Linked DNA regions of Caenorhabditis elegans. The protein of the gene in region 2 purifies or fractionates together with the protein of the main gene of each other region. This does not show direct contact. Each region holds a gene or a part of one and is shown on either strand. Other genes may lie near its edges. The genes, in order: ZK402.5, F09E5.8 and Y79H2A.12.

The links.
Region 1: the proteins of F09E5.8 (region 2) and ZK402.5 fractionate together in Caenorhabditis elegans (co-fractionation; one large-scale study listed by BioGRID). This does not show direct contact.
Region 3: the proteins of F09E5.8 (region 2) and Y79H2A.12 fractionate together in Caenorhabditis elegans (co-fractionation; one large-scale study listed by BioGRID). This does not show direct contact.

The regions. Positions count from the first base shown.
Region 1 is NC_003284.9:1,398,273-1,402,988, forward strand, and holds ZK402.5 (SPK domain-containing protein), read right to left. Parts: upstream 3,088-4,716; 5' UTR 2,971-3,087; intron 2,359-2,970; 5' UTR 2,267-2,358; coding exon 2,259-2,266; intron 2,212-2,258; coding exon 1,930-2,211; intron 1,886-1,929; coding exon 1,772-1,885; intron 1,724-1,771; coding exon 1,460-1,723; intron 1,409-1,459; coding exon 892-1,408; intron 843-891; coding exon 552-842; downstream 1-551.
Region 2 is NC_003280.10:5,348,560-5,352,516, reverse strand, and holds F09E5.8 (Pyridoxal phosphate homeostasis protein), read right to left. Parts: upstream 1,849-3,957; 5' UTR 1,842-1,848; coding exon 1,756-1,841; intron 1,705-1,755; coding exon 1,605-1,704; intron 1,553-1,604; coding exon 1,472-1,552; intron 1,419-1,471; coding exon 1,338-1,418; intron 1,293-1,337; coding exon 1,108-1,292; intron 925-1,107; coding exon 854-924; intron 714-853; coding exon 583-713; 3' UTR 524-582; downstream 1-523. Other genes in the region: F09E5.7 (PI31_Prot_N domain-containing protein), read right to left, coding at 1-87, 133-295, 343-408. UniProt on the Caenorhabditis elegans protein: Pyridoxal 5'-phosphate (PLP)-binding protein, which may be involved in intracellular homeostatic regulation of pyridoxal 5'-phosphate (PLP), the active form of vitamin B6.
Region 3 is NC_003281.10:12,024,743-12,030,768, reverse strand, and holds Y79H2A.12 (Serpentine Receptor, class BC (Class B-like)), read left to right. Parts: upstream 1-1,899; 5' UTR 1,900-1,957; coding exon 1,958-1,975; intron 1,976-2,031; coding exon 2,032-2,235; intron 2,236-3,565; coding exon 3,566-3,761; intron 3,762-5,100; coding exon 5,101-5,210; 3' UTR 5,211-5,418; downstream 5,419-6,026. Other genes in the region: Y79H2A.2 (MARVEL domain-containing protein), read left to right, coding at 64-78, 135-164, 423-617, 664-721, 788-892, 1,653-1,753; brp-1 (uncharacterized protein), read right to left, coding at 5,593-5,901.

The DNA.
Region 1 (4,716 bases), on a different chromosome or scaffold from region 2:
TAACGGGCAATTCAAATATCTGTAGTGTTGAGTTTTGTATTATATTTTGGTGAAATATGTACTGCAAAATACAAGAAATTAATTAGGTTCATTCATAGAGAACACTTTAAAAATCTAGGAAACGGTAAATAAACTCCCAAGAATTACAAGTATCATTATAACAAAAATTATTCTTTCTGGCCACAGCATTTCCTCTATCGTTTCCATTTCTGCATCAATCACATCAGCCATCCCGAATGTCCTTAACAACTGAAAAAAAACAGTTAAAAATTCTAATGAAAAATTCTTTCTTAGGGTGAAAAATACGTTCTGGGTAAAAAATCATAACGTTTTTCCTATCGATTTTCCCGATTTTTTGGGAACTCGTTTTTCAGGCTCTCGCCTGTCCAATGGTGCACCTTGTCAGCTTTTATCTGAGTTTTGATAGGTGGATTTCGCATAAATTGGGCAAACATGCAAGAATTGAAAAAAAAAACCATTAAAAATGTTTTCGAATTTTTTTTTGTTGGACGAACTTTATTGATTTTTCATACAACTTTAAAAAAAAAGACCTAACATAGTCTAAGGAAACTTAGAACACACAAATCATTCGAATTTGAAATGTCAAAAATTCTTTTGAAAAATGGGGGGTGGGAGGGGGGAGGGGATGAGTTCAACCCTCCACCACGGGAAATTTTTTTGCGAATTTTTTCATCCCAAAAAAAAAAGGAAAAAAAGGTCCATTGAACTTGAGAAGGAAATCCTTGACCTACATAGCAGGGACAAGCGGTTGCTTTGATTTTTCGATTGATCGTGATGAGGAATGCCTCGAAAACTCCACGAAGCTCGGCAAATAGGATTTTCTGAAAATCGAATTTTCAAAATAATTTTTTTTCCATGAGAACTGTAAACCTTATCAACATTAGTTCCAATTGACTTTTTGATTTGTTGCTTGAGCTCCTCGAGTTCCCTACTTTTGAGAAAGCAAATGAACTGGGTCAGTTGTTTCAGGAATTCAGACATATTAATGGGTTCATCTGAAGTGGCTCCAGTATTCGCGGAAAGACTGATTTGTTGACGATCGAAGCGTGGAACACCAGTTTTTTGTTCTTCTTGCACATGATCGCTATTCGAATTATGTGGTGCAAATCCTTCGAAGATTGGTTCAGGCTTCGGCTGTCCCTTCATCGCTCCGATGTATTGCACCTCATCGTCGTCACTGTCCAATTGAAGAGATTTCACATAAATAGTTGGCTGATTGTTCTCTTCCATCATCACTTCTTTATATTCTTGCGAATGATCGATGAGCAAATTATAGGTTGAATCTCTATTGAGGAGTTCTTCAAAATCGAAATCAACTGGCTCAGGCTTCGGATATCCGTCCACAGTTTCAATAATCTCCAGATCATCGTCGTCGTCACTCGAGCTCCTGAAAATAATCAAATAAAATACTGCGTAATATGAAATTGACAGGATATACATTTCAGTTCTCGCTCTTTTCGGAGATCTAGGAAGAGAAGTCGCCGAATCTACGCCATCTTCGTCGCTCTCGGCTTGGTTCGTCGTCTGACTTGCATTCATGACCATGTGCACGTGTCGACCAGCCTTTCGGTGATATGCAGATGTTCTTTTCATTCTTGCCGAATGACTGTGGTCCGCCTCCAACTTCAGCTTTCCATCACGTGATGCATACTCGCAAATTCGTTTGCCATCATTGAGCACGACAATTCCCTCCGTTTGAACTCTGTAAATCACTATTCGTTAACTCAAAAACCTTTTTAAAATTTTTTACTGTGTCAGAAAGTCGTCCGAAACTTCTCCAACAAGCCCAAGCATCACTCGGAGACGGCTTTCAATACTGTAATTGTCCAGTTGATCCATGTTTGGCGCAAGCTTTTTATGGAATCTAAATCTAAATTTATTAAAGAGAACCAGGTATAATATTCTCACTTTCGATAATAGGCTCCATCCGAACATCTGGCATTTTCTTTTTTACCGAACTCCATGAAAACTTTTGTTGCCACCAGTGGCTCATTGGCTTCTTTCGTCTTTTCAACAAGAAACGTCATCAATCTTACGTCATCGGCGGAGAGCATGATCTTCGTTGACCTCTTTCGTGCTGCCTTAGAAGATTTACTGTGGATTCTTTCCAACGTGAGTTTTCCGTCGCGTGACTTATAATTGCAGATTCGCATTTTCTTGTCAATCTTAACAGTGCCAGTCGATTTGATCCTGCAACAAACTAAATTCATAAATCTGAAGGTAACATCTCTCCTCACAATGTCATGAACTTGTCCGACACTTTTGCCGACAAGGCAAACGTCACTTGAATGCGTGACACGACACTGTATTCGTTTTTTTCGTTTTATGTTCCGACCCCTACAATACTTTAATACGAATAATTGAAACAAAATTACAATATAAAAAGTTTAAGTTTTAAAAAAATTTTTGGTCGACTTCCAGAATTATGAGTGGCAAAAAATGAGTTGTCAATCGTCATTTTTTGACAGTAAATAAAAAATTTCAAAAAAATTTTAAAAAGTTTTGTTGTGATATTTGGTCATTTTGGCATCATATTAATAGTTTTCTAATAGTTTTAGCACTTTTCCCACTGGCGCTACTCCACAGCATTTTTGAATGCTTTTCTTAAACTCTTTGAGTATTCCTACACAGTATTTTAAACTTAAAATAATCAATCCACCTTATATCAAAGTTAATAAGCAATATTTGAAAAATTTTAATGTTTCATAATAGAATTTAAAGAGTATAGCACTATCTCAGCGGTTTTAAATAATTTTCACCAATGACAAACACCTACTTTTAAAAATTAAAAAAATTTGAGAAGAAAAGCCCGAAAATTCAAATAAAGTGATAACCAAGAGTGTTATCAGTTTTCCAATTTAATAAATTTCTCAAAATTTAGCAACAAATTGCATATTTTGAAATAAAATTCCCACTTACCTGTTGAAACAAATTCAAAAAAAAACTTACTTTTCTACCAATTAATATTACTAAAGTAAAAATAGGAATAACATTAGAAAAGGTTCATATAGAAAACTAGAAGAATAGAAGAGGGTCACCACCAGTAACCCAAGTAAAACAAAGAATGATTGGAAATGTAGAATGTTGCTGTGCAGCTGCTAACGCCAAGGTTATATGAACACAGTGAGTCATTCTTTTCTACGTACCTATCTAGACGGTGACAACATGTTTGAGGGTTTTATGGTGGGGTGACAATATGTTGTCGACTAAAGGAATCCATCCATCAATATTTACCAATATGAATAATATTTCGAATATATTGTAATTTAGGAAGTTCTCGGAATACATGTGACTTGAATAATACAACTTTGAATGGGGTTATTCAAATAGTGTCGGAAAATTAAAAAGTGTTGAAAAATTACGTCACAACTGTAGGTATTAAAGGTGGGGTACCGAAATCTAGGAAATATTTTTAAATAACTCCAAATTTTCCCCTGATTCCGAACATCTATGTGAACAAATTAAAAAAATCCCTGATTATATATTTGATCTTGAAATCGCGTTTTTCATTTGCGTACCCATGAGATTTTTCAAATGCGCGCAAATAAAACTATACAAAAATTATTTTAGAGATTGAAAAACGTTGCCCCTATTATGTTGTCCCGAGGTAGAGTTGGCCACAGGACTGGGACCAAAAAAAGTTTGGACCAAAAAACAAAAATTGAAATTTTTGAAAAACCAAAAAAAAAAAAACGAAAATAAATTACGATGCTTAAGGATTCGTATTAAAGTATTGTAGGGGTCGGAACATAAAACGAAAAAAACGAATACAGTGTCGTGTCACGCATTCAAGTGACGTTTGCCTTGTCGGCAAAAGTGTCGGACAAGTTCATGACATTGTGAGGAGAGATGTTACCTTCAGATTTATGAATTTAGTTTGTTGCAGGATCAAATCGACTGGCACTGTTAAGATTGACAAGAAAATGCGAATCTGCAATTATAAGTCACGCGACGGAAAACTCACGTTGGAAAGAATCCACAGTAAATCTTCTAAGGCAGCACGAAAGAGGTCAACGAAGATCATGCTCTCCGCCGATGACGTAAGATTGATGACGTTTCTTGTTGAAAAGACGAAAGAAGCCAATGAGCCACTGGTGGCAACAAAAGTTTTCATGGAGTTCGGTAAAAAAGAAAATGCCAGATGTTCGGATGGAGCCTATTATCGAAAGTGAGAATATTATACCTGGTTCTCTTTAATAAATTTAGATTTAGATTCCATAAAAAGCTTGCGCCAAACATGGATCAACTGGACAATTACAGTATTGAAAGCCGTGTCCGAGTGATGCTTGGGCTTGCTGGAGAAGTTTCGGACGACTTTCAGTAGTATGTGGAGCTAAATTTCCCACCCCCAGCCAGGGAGCTAAATTTCGCACCTGCCACTCAAACCGCGTTCATGCACCGATTTTTTTCAAATCTATATCGTTTTCTTCGTCAGGAGAACAGAGAATTACGCAAAATAATTCTCAATCTCGAGGCCCTGGATGAGATTGAAGGACTCATTAGAGTATGGTGAGTTTTTTTTCTTAGTCTTTTTTTACCTTACCCTACCGTTTACAGGACAGAATAAATGCTTCTGGTCTCCTTGCCATTCAAGTCACCATTCAAGTGCCACCGTGTCTGGTCTCCTCGCCATTCAAGTTATAAATTACAATTTCCATTTTTTTCTGAATAAAAGCTTTGTTTTCGTTTTATTTG
Region 2 (3,957 bases):
CGAGTGGATGAAGACCTTCCGACAAATCAGATTTCAGAGAAGACGAAGGAGTTACTGTGAAAGAAGCTGCGATGGAACGGAGACTGTCTGAAAAATCGAATTATAACTGACAATTTTATTTTCAAAACTTACTTTTTATGACATATCCAGTTATGATTGCTTCAAATCCTCCATCCTCACTGATGAAAACCTGACCAACTACTCCAGAGTTCTGTGGAACTCCTCGCTTGGTGCCTCCGAATTTTAATTCAAATCCTTTCGTTTCAGGTCCGTTCCAAGATTTCATGCTTTCCTCCTGAATGAATCACGCTTAATTTGCTTAAAAGTAAAGAATTAACCTACATGTTGCTGCTCATTGAGCATTAATTCTCGAGTTTCCTTGAGAATTTCCGATCGGAAATTATCCATTATTCTGTGACTGAAAAAAATGCTGAAGGAACTGAAAAGTTCAATTCAAAAGAAAGGTATTTAAACAGTAACAGCAACTGAATTGGAATCTGGTAATTAAAAAAAAAGTGAATTTGAATAGTGAATTTTCTTTAAATACTAAAAAAATAACAAACTAAAAAATGGAATGTAAATCTATTTATTTTTGTATTCTCTGGCTCCGAACAGCTTGCTTCCCACTCGAACACTTGTTGCACCTTGATGAATTGCTTGAAGGAAATCATCGGACATTCCCATTGAGAGTTCTACTGAATCCGCAGATTCACCTGAAATCAATACTTTTCAAGTTTTTGTTTAGAAACTTTGTGGATCCAACATTTCAAAACATTTCTTGAAGCATAAGTTTTATTTTTTGACGTCAACCACTGACGGTTCTCGCTTTGATTTTTCTAGAAAATCTGTTCACCTGTTTGTTCTGCCCATGTTTGTCGGACTTTGAAGAGCTTCTCGAAATCCGGATTTTCTCCGCTTGCGTGGCTGTAAAATTGAACTTTTATTTTATGGTAAATATTTAATTTATCGCTTGTTAGCTTGATCATTATTTACAAGTAATAATTAATATAAAACGTTCATTTTCATCATTTCTTACACCTATTTCCATTTCACCTGCCACTGAACAACTTTTTAGTAGGATAGTCGTAACAATAAATAAATATATACCTGTTGTCAAACGATCCGATAGTCATGAATCCATCAAATTTCAAGTTTTGGCATTCTTTTCGAATGAATTCCGCAAGTTTCGGTGCTTCTCCAATCTCGATTCCTCCTTTATTATCTTCTCCGGATGTATTTACTTGCACGAGAACTCGTAGTGGTGACAAATTGGCTCCGTGTTTTGACCATTCCTTCAAGATATTTAATTAAAATAGATTAATAGTCACTAAACACACCTTGTCGAAAATCCGAGCATGTTTCTCAGTCTCCACTGTTTCAACACACCAAAGTCCAGGAGAATTGCAAATTTTTCCAATCTAAAAATTTTTAAATGATTAATAAATAAGGTAAATTTTCCATCAGAACTAACTTTATTTGATTGCACTTGTCCGATAAAATGCCAACGAATATCTAAACATTTTGACGCCAAAACATCAGATTTTTCTTCAAGCTGAACAATAAGGAATCATTTTCAAAAGTTTTGTTGATGATTTTTCTCTCACTTCTTGGACGTAATTCTCTCCAAAATGACGCTGATTTTGAGAATAACATGCCTCTATTAAATCAGCAGACTTTGTTTTACTGACAGCAACAAGTCGACATCTGAAAAATTCATTATTAATTTAGTTTCGCAATAATTTCCGGTTTACCAACCTTTTTGTGGCTTGCGAAGCAGTAACGGCGTCGGCAACGGCTTCAATAATGTTGAATAGACTTTTTTGTACAATTTCTATAGACATTTTCTACCTGAAAACTATATTATTTAGTTCTAAACACGGAAAAGGAAGGAAACAACAAAATAAGAAATTTCTAGAGGGGGTACGTTTTCGTAAGGGGATTTTTTCGTAAGGAACGCTTTCAGTAGGGCAATGTGCGGCGCGCCTTTTCGCAAGCCCGCCGCACAGTCCTTCGCAATGCGCCGCACGGCTTTTTGCAATGCGCCGCACGCTTCTTCGTATTTATTTATTTATTTTTCCAACAGGAAATTTCGAACGGAATTCAATTAAAAACGGATTTTTAATGGAAATTAATTAGTTTTATTCGAGCTAAATACGGATATTTTCAGAATTTTCGATGACAAAAACGGGTTTCATTCGATTTCGAATCGATCAAAATTAATATTAATCGAAAATGAGCGTTTCCTTCCCGGAAAAAAGAAGAACTTGATGCTGAGAGTGATCCAAGCGGAGCCAAACGCTTTTTTAGAGGCAAGTATTGATGTCTAAAGATTAATTGAAGAGTGAAAAGTATTTTTCAGCGTTCGACAGGGATCTAAAGAAGAAAAGAAATCCGAAAGCGTCTACTACAAATGTATGTGAATCGACTCCTGCAACAATCGATCTGGTTACTCCACCTGCATCACCACGTCGGTCTGATTCGTATATGCAGTTTCCTTCAAATTCTCGAGAGCTCGATGAGCCGAGATCCACTGACGATATCCCGGAATGCGATTCAATAGCCAATTCTACTCAGGAAACAAGCTTGGATACAACAGATTCCATGGCAAATACTGAAAGATTTTTTGATTTTTATCCAGCTGTATTTCCCGAAGAAATGGATCACGATCTACAGGAAACAAGTGAATTCAATCTTCTGTGTAGGTCTTAACTAATAATTAAATAGAAATAACAGACGTTGTATTTTTAGGTCACAATTCATATCAATCTCCGTTTGAAGACGAAGAGACTCCATACCATCCGGATTGGTTTTTGACAAATAGGTTGTTATTAATCAATAACTCTATCAAAATATAAAATTCCAGCAAGTCACACGTGTTACGTTCTCTGATGCACTATAGACCGATTGCCAATAGCCCAAGAGGGGTGCTTGAAATGGCACCGGAATATATCAGCGAGAATAGTTCAGATTTTTGGTATGCCTTCTAACTTCTAAAACAATTAAACATAGAAACTATGCAATTTCAGTATTTCGACGAAACGAGGAGCTCCATTGGTCATTTTCAACAATCAAAGCTATCGTCCGAGAGAAACACTGAAAAATGGGGACATTGTGGCTAGGTGAATTATCGCTAGGAAAAAATTGTCACACATTTCATTAATTTATTTCAGATGTAACGTTACACTGGAAAACTCGAGAAAGTGCCCCGGATCCGTGCGTATCAAGACTGAGACAGGCCATGTGAAAGTCAGTCGTGATTGTGATCACGAATCGAGGAGAAGCGAAATTGCAGTATACTGAAATTTACGTTTTTCAAAACTAAATTTATATTTTAGGTGCAATTAATTATGAGAAAAATCGCAGTTTCATCAATGTCTTCTTCACCATCAAAAGAACGCCTTTATGAGCTTGCTGTTACACTTTCAAAAAGATATGAAGTTGTTGAACTTCTCAAGAGCAACGTAAATAATAAATCGTGGAATCAATAAAACATATACTTTTTCCAGAAAGAAATCAGTCGCATACTGGACGGTATGCTGAGTAGGAAATCGACGAATAGTTTTCCACCAGCCCTCGATTCTGCCTATTTTAAAGGAGGAAAATGTTGTTTAGACAGTTCTGGAACGTTTGAGTCTAATAAGGATTTGCTAGTTGTGTGGCAAGCAGAGGAAGCTGAATCTTTGTATGGTGCGCACAGCTTGCATTTGGATGGGAAATTCTCAGAAATTCCGAAAAATTATCGACAGCTTTACATCGCAACAGTCACGGTGCGTATTAATTGAAAGGTATTTTGATGTCAACCAATGACATTGCAGGATCTCGATACGAACGTGGCAGTTCCATTGGTTTTTGCTTTGTGTGGCTCTGCCAAAGAAGATTTGTACAGACGTTTGTTCCTATCTTTCCTACGTAGTGGAATCCAACCAAAATACGTATTTTCAGGTAAACGTTGGTTAT
Region 3 (6,026 bases), on a different chromosome or scaffold from region 2:
TAAAAGAATACGACACGTTTCGTATTTGATTTTCCTTTTTTTCGCTTCTTTCCGAACAAAAACATGCCTATTTTCTGGGTAAGAGAAATTTTGCTAATTTTTTTTTTCAAAATTTAATTTTTCGAAATTTTCAGACCACACCAAAAAGTGTTAAGCTGGCAAAGGTTTGTCTGCTGGCCACGGATTTCTGGCTTCCCTCATAAATTGAAATGGAAGAGTTTGCCGAACTAGGCCAGGCCATATTTGGGGTAGATTTACGGCGCGTTGCGTGTCACGTCGCGGCTCGTGGAGTACACACGACTTTCCTTGTCCGGCAGGCGATTGTCAATGGAGCACGAAAAGTTACAATGAGGAAGGCCAGAACCCCGTGTTTTTTTCAAGGAAAAAAATTGAAAAATGTATGAGTCATCAAAATCATTCAGGTCGTGGCTATCGTGATAACCATAATATTCCTGATTCTTCCAATTGTCAACTGGATTTTCGATTTGGCTCCAATTGAAGCACATAAATGGGCAATCTCAATCGGAATGATAATTGGAGCTGTTCTTGAACTTGTTCTCATTACAATAATTATCCTAGAATGCAAATTCCTAATTTTCATTTCATTGGTGATCTTGGTGAGCTTCTTTAAAAAATCCCTTCTTCAAAAATTCAAATTAACAGGCCATCAACATTGCCGCTTTCACACTTTGTGCCAACCTTTCAGTTTTAAAATTTGCAAGTGAGTGGGTTTCTTTTAACTCAAAGCTCCTAATTTATTACATATCTGGAAAAAAAAACTATTCAGTCTCATCAATGACCACACTGAAAGCCAAGCTAGGTATCGATAATGAAGATGAAGCGCTTGACAGATCAATCGTGATGGAGCTCATAGCTATTGCTGTTCTGATATGTGAGTTGAAATTAAAATTAACAGTAAAGGCAAGCAGGTAAGCATGTAGGCAGTCAGGCGCGAGGCATGCAGAAGGTAGGCATAAAGTAGGCACGTAGGCTGTAGGCATGAAGTGGATGGGCACGAAGATTGGTACATAGGAATGTAGTTGGACATAAGGTAAATGCTTAAGTTAGGCAAGCAGGGATTAGGTAATGAGATATGTATAAAGTAGGCAGGTAGGCAAATAGGTATGTGGTAAGTATAGGCAAGGATCAGGTATGCTTGCAAGCTGCTAGGTATAAAGTAGGCACGTTAGTAGGCACATAGGCAGGCAGATATACGGAGGCAGGCGTGAAGTATGCACTAAAGTAGGCATCATAAAAGATGCACGAATGAAGGTACGTAGGCCGGCATCTGGTAGGTATGAAGGTAGAAATGAGGGAAGTTTGAGGAATGCGAAAGGGGTAGGCAAATAGGCATAGAGTAGGCAAATGTAGTAGGCACGCACGCAAAGAGGCATGCCGTAGGCACATGGATTGGAACGTAGGCAGTCAAAAATGAGATGGCCACGTAGGCAAACACGTAGGCATTCAGTCATCAGGTAGGCATGAAGTAAGCATAGGCAGGTGGGCATCATAAAGGATGAACCTATGTAGGCATGTAGAAATTAGGTGTGGACATAGGCAGACAGGCAATGGATCAGTATGTAGGCAGGCAGGAGGTAGGCATGCGCTCCTGAAGTCAAAAAAATTTCAAATAAATTTAATTTTTTTTCCAGTGTTGCTCGTGAGATATTACGCTGTCCTAACAGTCTATCGTTGGACAAAACTACCACGTGTCGCTGCGGGACCCCGGATTACAGTTCATAATATTAAATAATTATTAAAATGTGAAAAAGTTCGTGATAAAGTTCTTGAAAAAATTGAAAACAAAACAGTCATCCAAAGAGGATTAATAATATGTTTCGAGAGGGATAACCAGTTTTTGAGGTTAATACGTTTTGAATATTAACCATTGATTTTTCTACACTGCAAAAATTTTCCGTTTTTTTTTTCGGAAATTTTTATACCAAATGAATTAGCAATGTCTTATGGTGGCCCGGTAAGTTAGAAATGAAAGAAAAAATTGAAATAAAAATTTTAAAAAGTTGTTTCTAGCCCCGTATTTTTTGCGTTCAAACCCGCCACGTCATAATTTTTTTCTCAATATTTGAATTATTTTTGTGTGGATGGCAGACGGTGTTGAATGAGGATCGTATTACAAGAACGACTGGAACTATATCCGCAATTCTGACACTTGTCATTCTATACAGTGTTGTCAAGAATCGAGCGTCTCTATTGAAAATTGCAATGTATATATCGGTAATGGTGTTGGGAAATTTTTTAATATAAAGGTGGAGCAGCGTAGAAATTGCCAAAAAAAACTACTCTGATGGCGCCAAAATTAGCGAATATCATAGTAAAACTTTTCAAATTTTTTACTTAACATTTTTATTGACCGCCCAAAAGTGGCAATTACAGAGTTTTTGCCACTTTGAGAATATTTAAATCCTGCAGTATTTGAATCAGGGAAGGGCGGCAAACGATATATCTTTTTTCCGGCAAACGACGACTCGGCAAACCGGCGAATTGTCGGATTTAAAATTTCTGGCAAATCGGCAAAACGGCGAATTGTCGGATTTAAAATTTCCGGCAAATCGGCAAACCGGCAAATTGTCGGATTTAAAATTTCCGGCAAATCGGCAAACCGGTAAAATGCCGGAATTGAAAATTTCCGGCAAATCGGCAAACCGGCATTTTTTGCCGAGTGTGCCGGAAAAAAGGCAACTGCCGAAAATTTTTGACATATTGTGGTTTTGTTTTTATTTATATATAGTCGGCACGGTACAATTTTGCCGACTAATATTGTAATTCTGAAGTTCTGAAATTGCCAAAAAAAAGTGCAAAACCACAATTTGCCGGTAATTTCAAATTGGCAGATTGCCGGAATTAAAATTTCCGGCAAATCGGCAAACCGGCAAAAATTTGAATTTCAAAAAGGCACAGTTTTAAGTTTTCCGTCTTATAAAATCCCTCTAAAACATTCGGCAAATTGCTAGCCGGCAAACGGCTAATCGGCAAATTGCCGGAATTGAAAATTTTCGCAAATCTGCAAATCGGCAAAGTGCTGAAAATGAAAAATTCCGGCAAACCGGCCAACTGGCAATTTTCCGACTTGCCGAAAATTAGCAGATCGGCAATTGCCAGATAGGACATAAAATTTGAAAAACAAACATTTGTCGACAACTTCCAAAAAAGTGGCAAAAATAGATTTTTCCATTAAAAAAAGCATACAAAATTTAGAGCAGATTTTCGAATTTTTGCTATGATATTCGGCAGGGCTTCCATATATGCGCTAAAACGCCTGCCTGCCTGCCTGACCATAAGGCGACCCTCGCCTGCCTCTCGCCTTACTCCGCGCCTTATGCTGATGTATGTATACGTGAATTTTTTTTGCATTTCTTAATTTGATTTTCATCAAATTGATATAACGAGAAAATTAGAAATTTGTAAATTCACTTAAAAATGCAGGCGGGCAGGTTTCAGGCAGGCGTCAGGCAATGGAGCCGTACCATGGAAGCCCTAATATTTGATCAGAACAATTTCCTCTAGTGGCGCTACTCCACTTCTTTAAAAATGTTTTTTTTTGTAGATATTCCAACTTGCATTCGAATTCGGCGAAATCCTTGTAACTCCAGTTTATTTTTCAAGTCAAGTGGCGTCAGGATACGAATCAAATGATACGTATCCTAACTTTCTCGGCGTAAAAACGGCGGAAGAGGATCGTTTTGTCATTGGGCTTTTGACAGGATATTCTGTGGAAATAATCATGACAATTTCTGTTACATGTGGGTTTTTGAATTAAATTAATTCCGAAAATTCATCATATAACTTTTTTCAAACATTTTTCGAACTAGCAATCTTTTAATTTTTATTCAAAGGCGGAGTAGAGTCAGAAAATTTTTCGCTATTATTTTTAAATGACTGAAAAACCCCTAATGTCCGATATAATTGTAAAAATAAATAAAAAATCCTAATTTTTCAAATGATTTTTTTCGAATTCCCGCGCAAATACGTGACGTCATTTTCGATATTTTCGCTTTTTCTGGCTAAACTCTTCTGGTTTTATTTATTTTTCTTTTGCAGATTTGCCAGAAAATTCCGGTGATTTGCCGATTTGCCGGAAATTTCAATTCCGGCAATTTACAGATTTGCCGGAAATTTCAACATCGGCAACTTGACAATTTTCGGGAAAGTTCAATTCCGGCAATTTGCCAGAAATTTCAATTTCGCCCTTTTCCCGATTTGCCGGAAATTTAAATTTCGCCATTTTGCCGATTTGCCGGAAATTTCAATTTCGCCATTTTGCCGATTTGCCGGAAATTTAAATTTCGCCATTTTGCCGATTTGCCGGAAATTTAAATTTCGCCCTTTTCCCGATTTGCCGGAAATTTCAATTCCGGAAATTTACAGATTTGCCGGAAATTTCAACATCGGCAACTTGACAATTTTCGGGAAAGTTCAATTTCGCCCTTTTCCCGATTTGCCGGAAATTTCAATTTCGCCATTTTGCCGATTTGCCGGAAATTTCAATTTCGCCATTTTGCCGATTTGCCGGAAATTTCAATTCCGGCAATTTACAGATTTGCCGGAAATTTCAACATCGGCAACTTGACAATTTTCGGGAAAGTTCAATTTCGCCCTTTTCCCGATTTGCCGGAAATTTCAATTTCGCCATTTTGCCGATTTGCCGGAAATTTCAATTTCGCCATTTTGCCGATTTGCCGGAAATTTCAATTCCGGCAATTTACAGATTTGCCGGAAATTTCAACATCGGCAACTTGACAATTTTCGGGAAAGTTCAATTCCGGCAATTTGCCAGAAATTTCAATTTCGCCCTTTTCCCGATTTGCCGGAAATTTCAATATCGCCATTTTGCCGATTTGCCGGAAATTTCAATTTCGCCATTTTGCCGATTTGCCAAAATATCGAAAATGACGTCACTCATTTGCGCGGGAATTCAAATGTTTCAAATTTAATTCGGTCGTTTCTATGAATTTTGAAATATGTAAAAATTCACTAAAAGTTTAGGACATTTTTGAAAAAATTTTCACAGTCATATTTGGTCATATATTCTAGGCGTATATTCTGTAATTTAAAGCGAAAAATTGTTTAAAAATTTTTCAGTATCAATAATCAAATTCATTCTAATCAATCGATGTTACGTCTATGCAAAACGAATCGAGAATGGGATGCTGGTTAGACAGTCGGATTTAACAAATGTGATGAAGTTTTGAAAGTTCCTTGGAAACACGTGGTGCCAGGCTGTCCCACCACGGTTTGATCTACAAAAAATGCGGCAATTTTTTGCCAAAAAAAGTGTGACGTCAGCACGTTCTTAACCATGCGAAATCAGTTGAGAACTCTGCCGCATTTTTTGTAGATCTACGTAGATCAAACCAACATGGGACACTCTGACACCACACGTTCTGAAATAAATACTTTTTTTTTCTTGATTTGCAAATACAAATTCAACAGCGAATAATTTTATTTACAAACCTGCACGCGTAAAAGATGGGATGATGATGATGATGGAAAATAATCGGGGGAGGACGAATTGTATAACAATTATTACATTCGAAAATTATTTTTTTTTAGCTCAGCTCAAAATTAAAATTCTCAAACAATCAGTGGTTTCAATGGTTTCTGAGTGGTTGCTGCTGTCTCAGCCCCTGCTGCCTCGAGAGCCTCACGTGGTGGATTGTTCTCGAAGAATTTGAGAACAGCTGCGAATGGATCCAACTCCTTCTCATGATTATCTTCAGATGATGTATGTTCAGCATCTTCTTCAGATTCCATTGGTTCAGGTGTTGTGGTGCGTTCTTCGATTCTTGGGAAGCTGTCCTCAATCACAATTGCTCCCTTTCCTTCGAGTTCTGGCTCTTCGGTGGTTGATGGGGTGGCTGAGTTGAGCTCTTTGTTGGCCGCCTGGAATATTACTCATTATGCCTCAGTGAGCACAAAACAGGGGTGGGCCGGAAATTGCCGTTCGGCAAATTTGGCAAATTGCCGGTTTGTCAATTTGCCGGAAATTTTGATTTTCGGAAAATTGC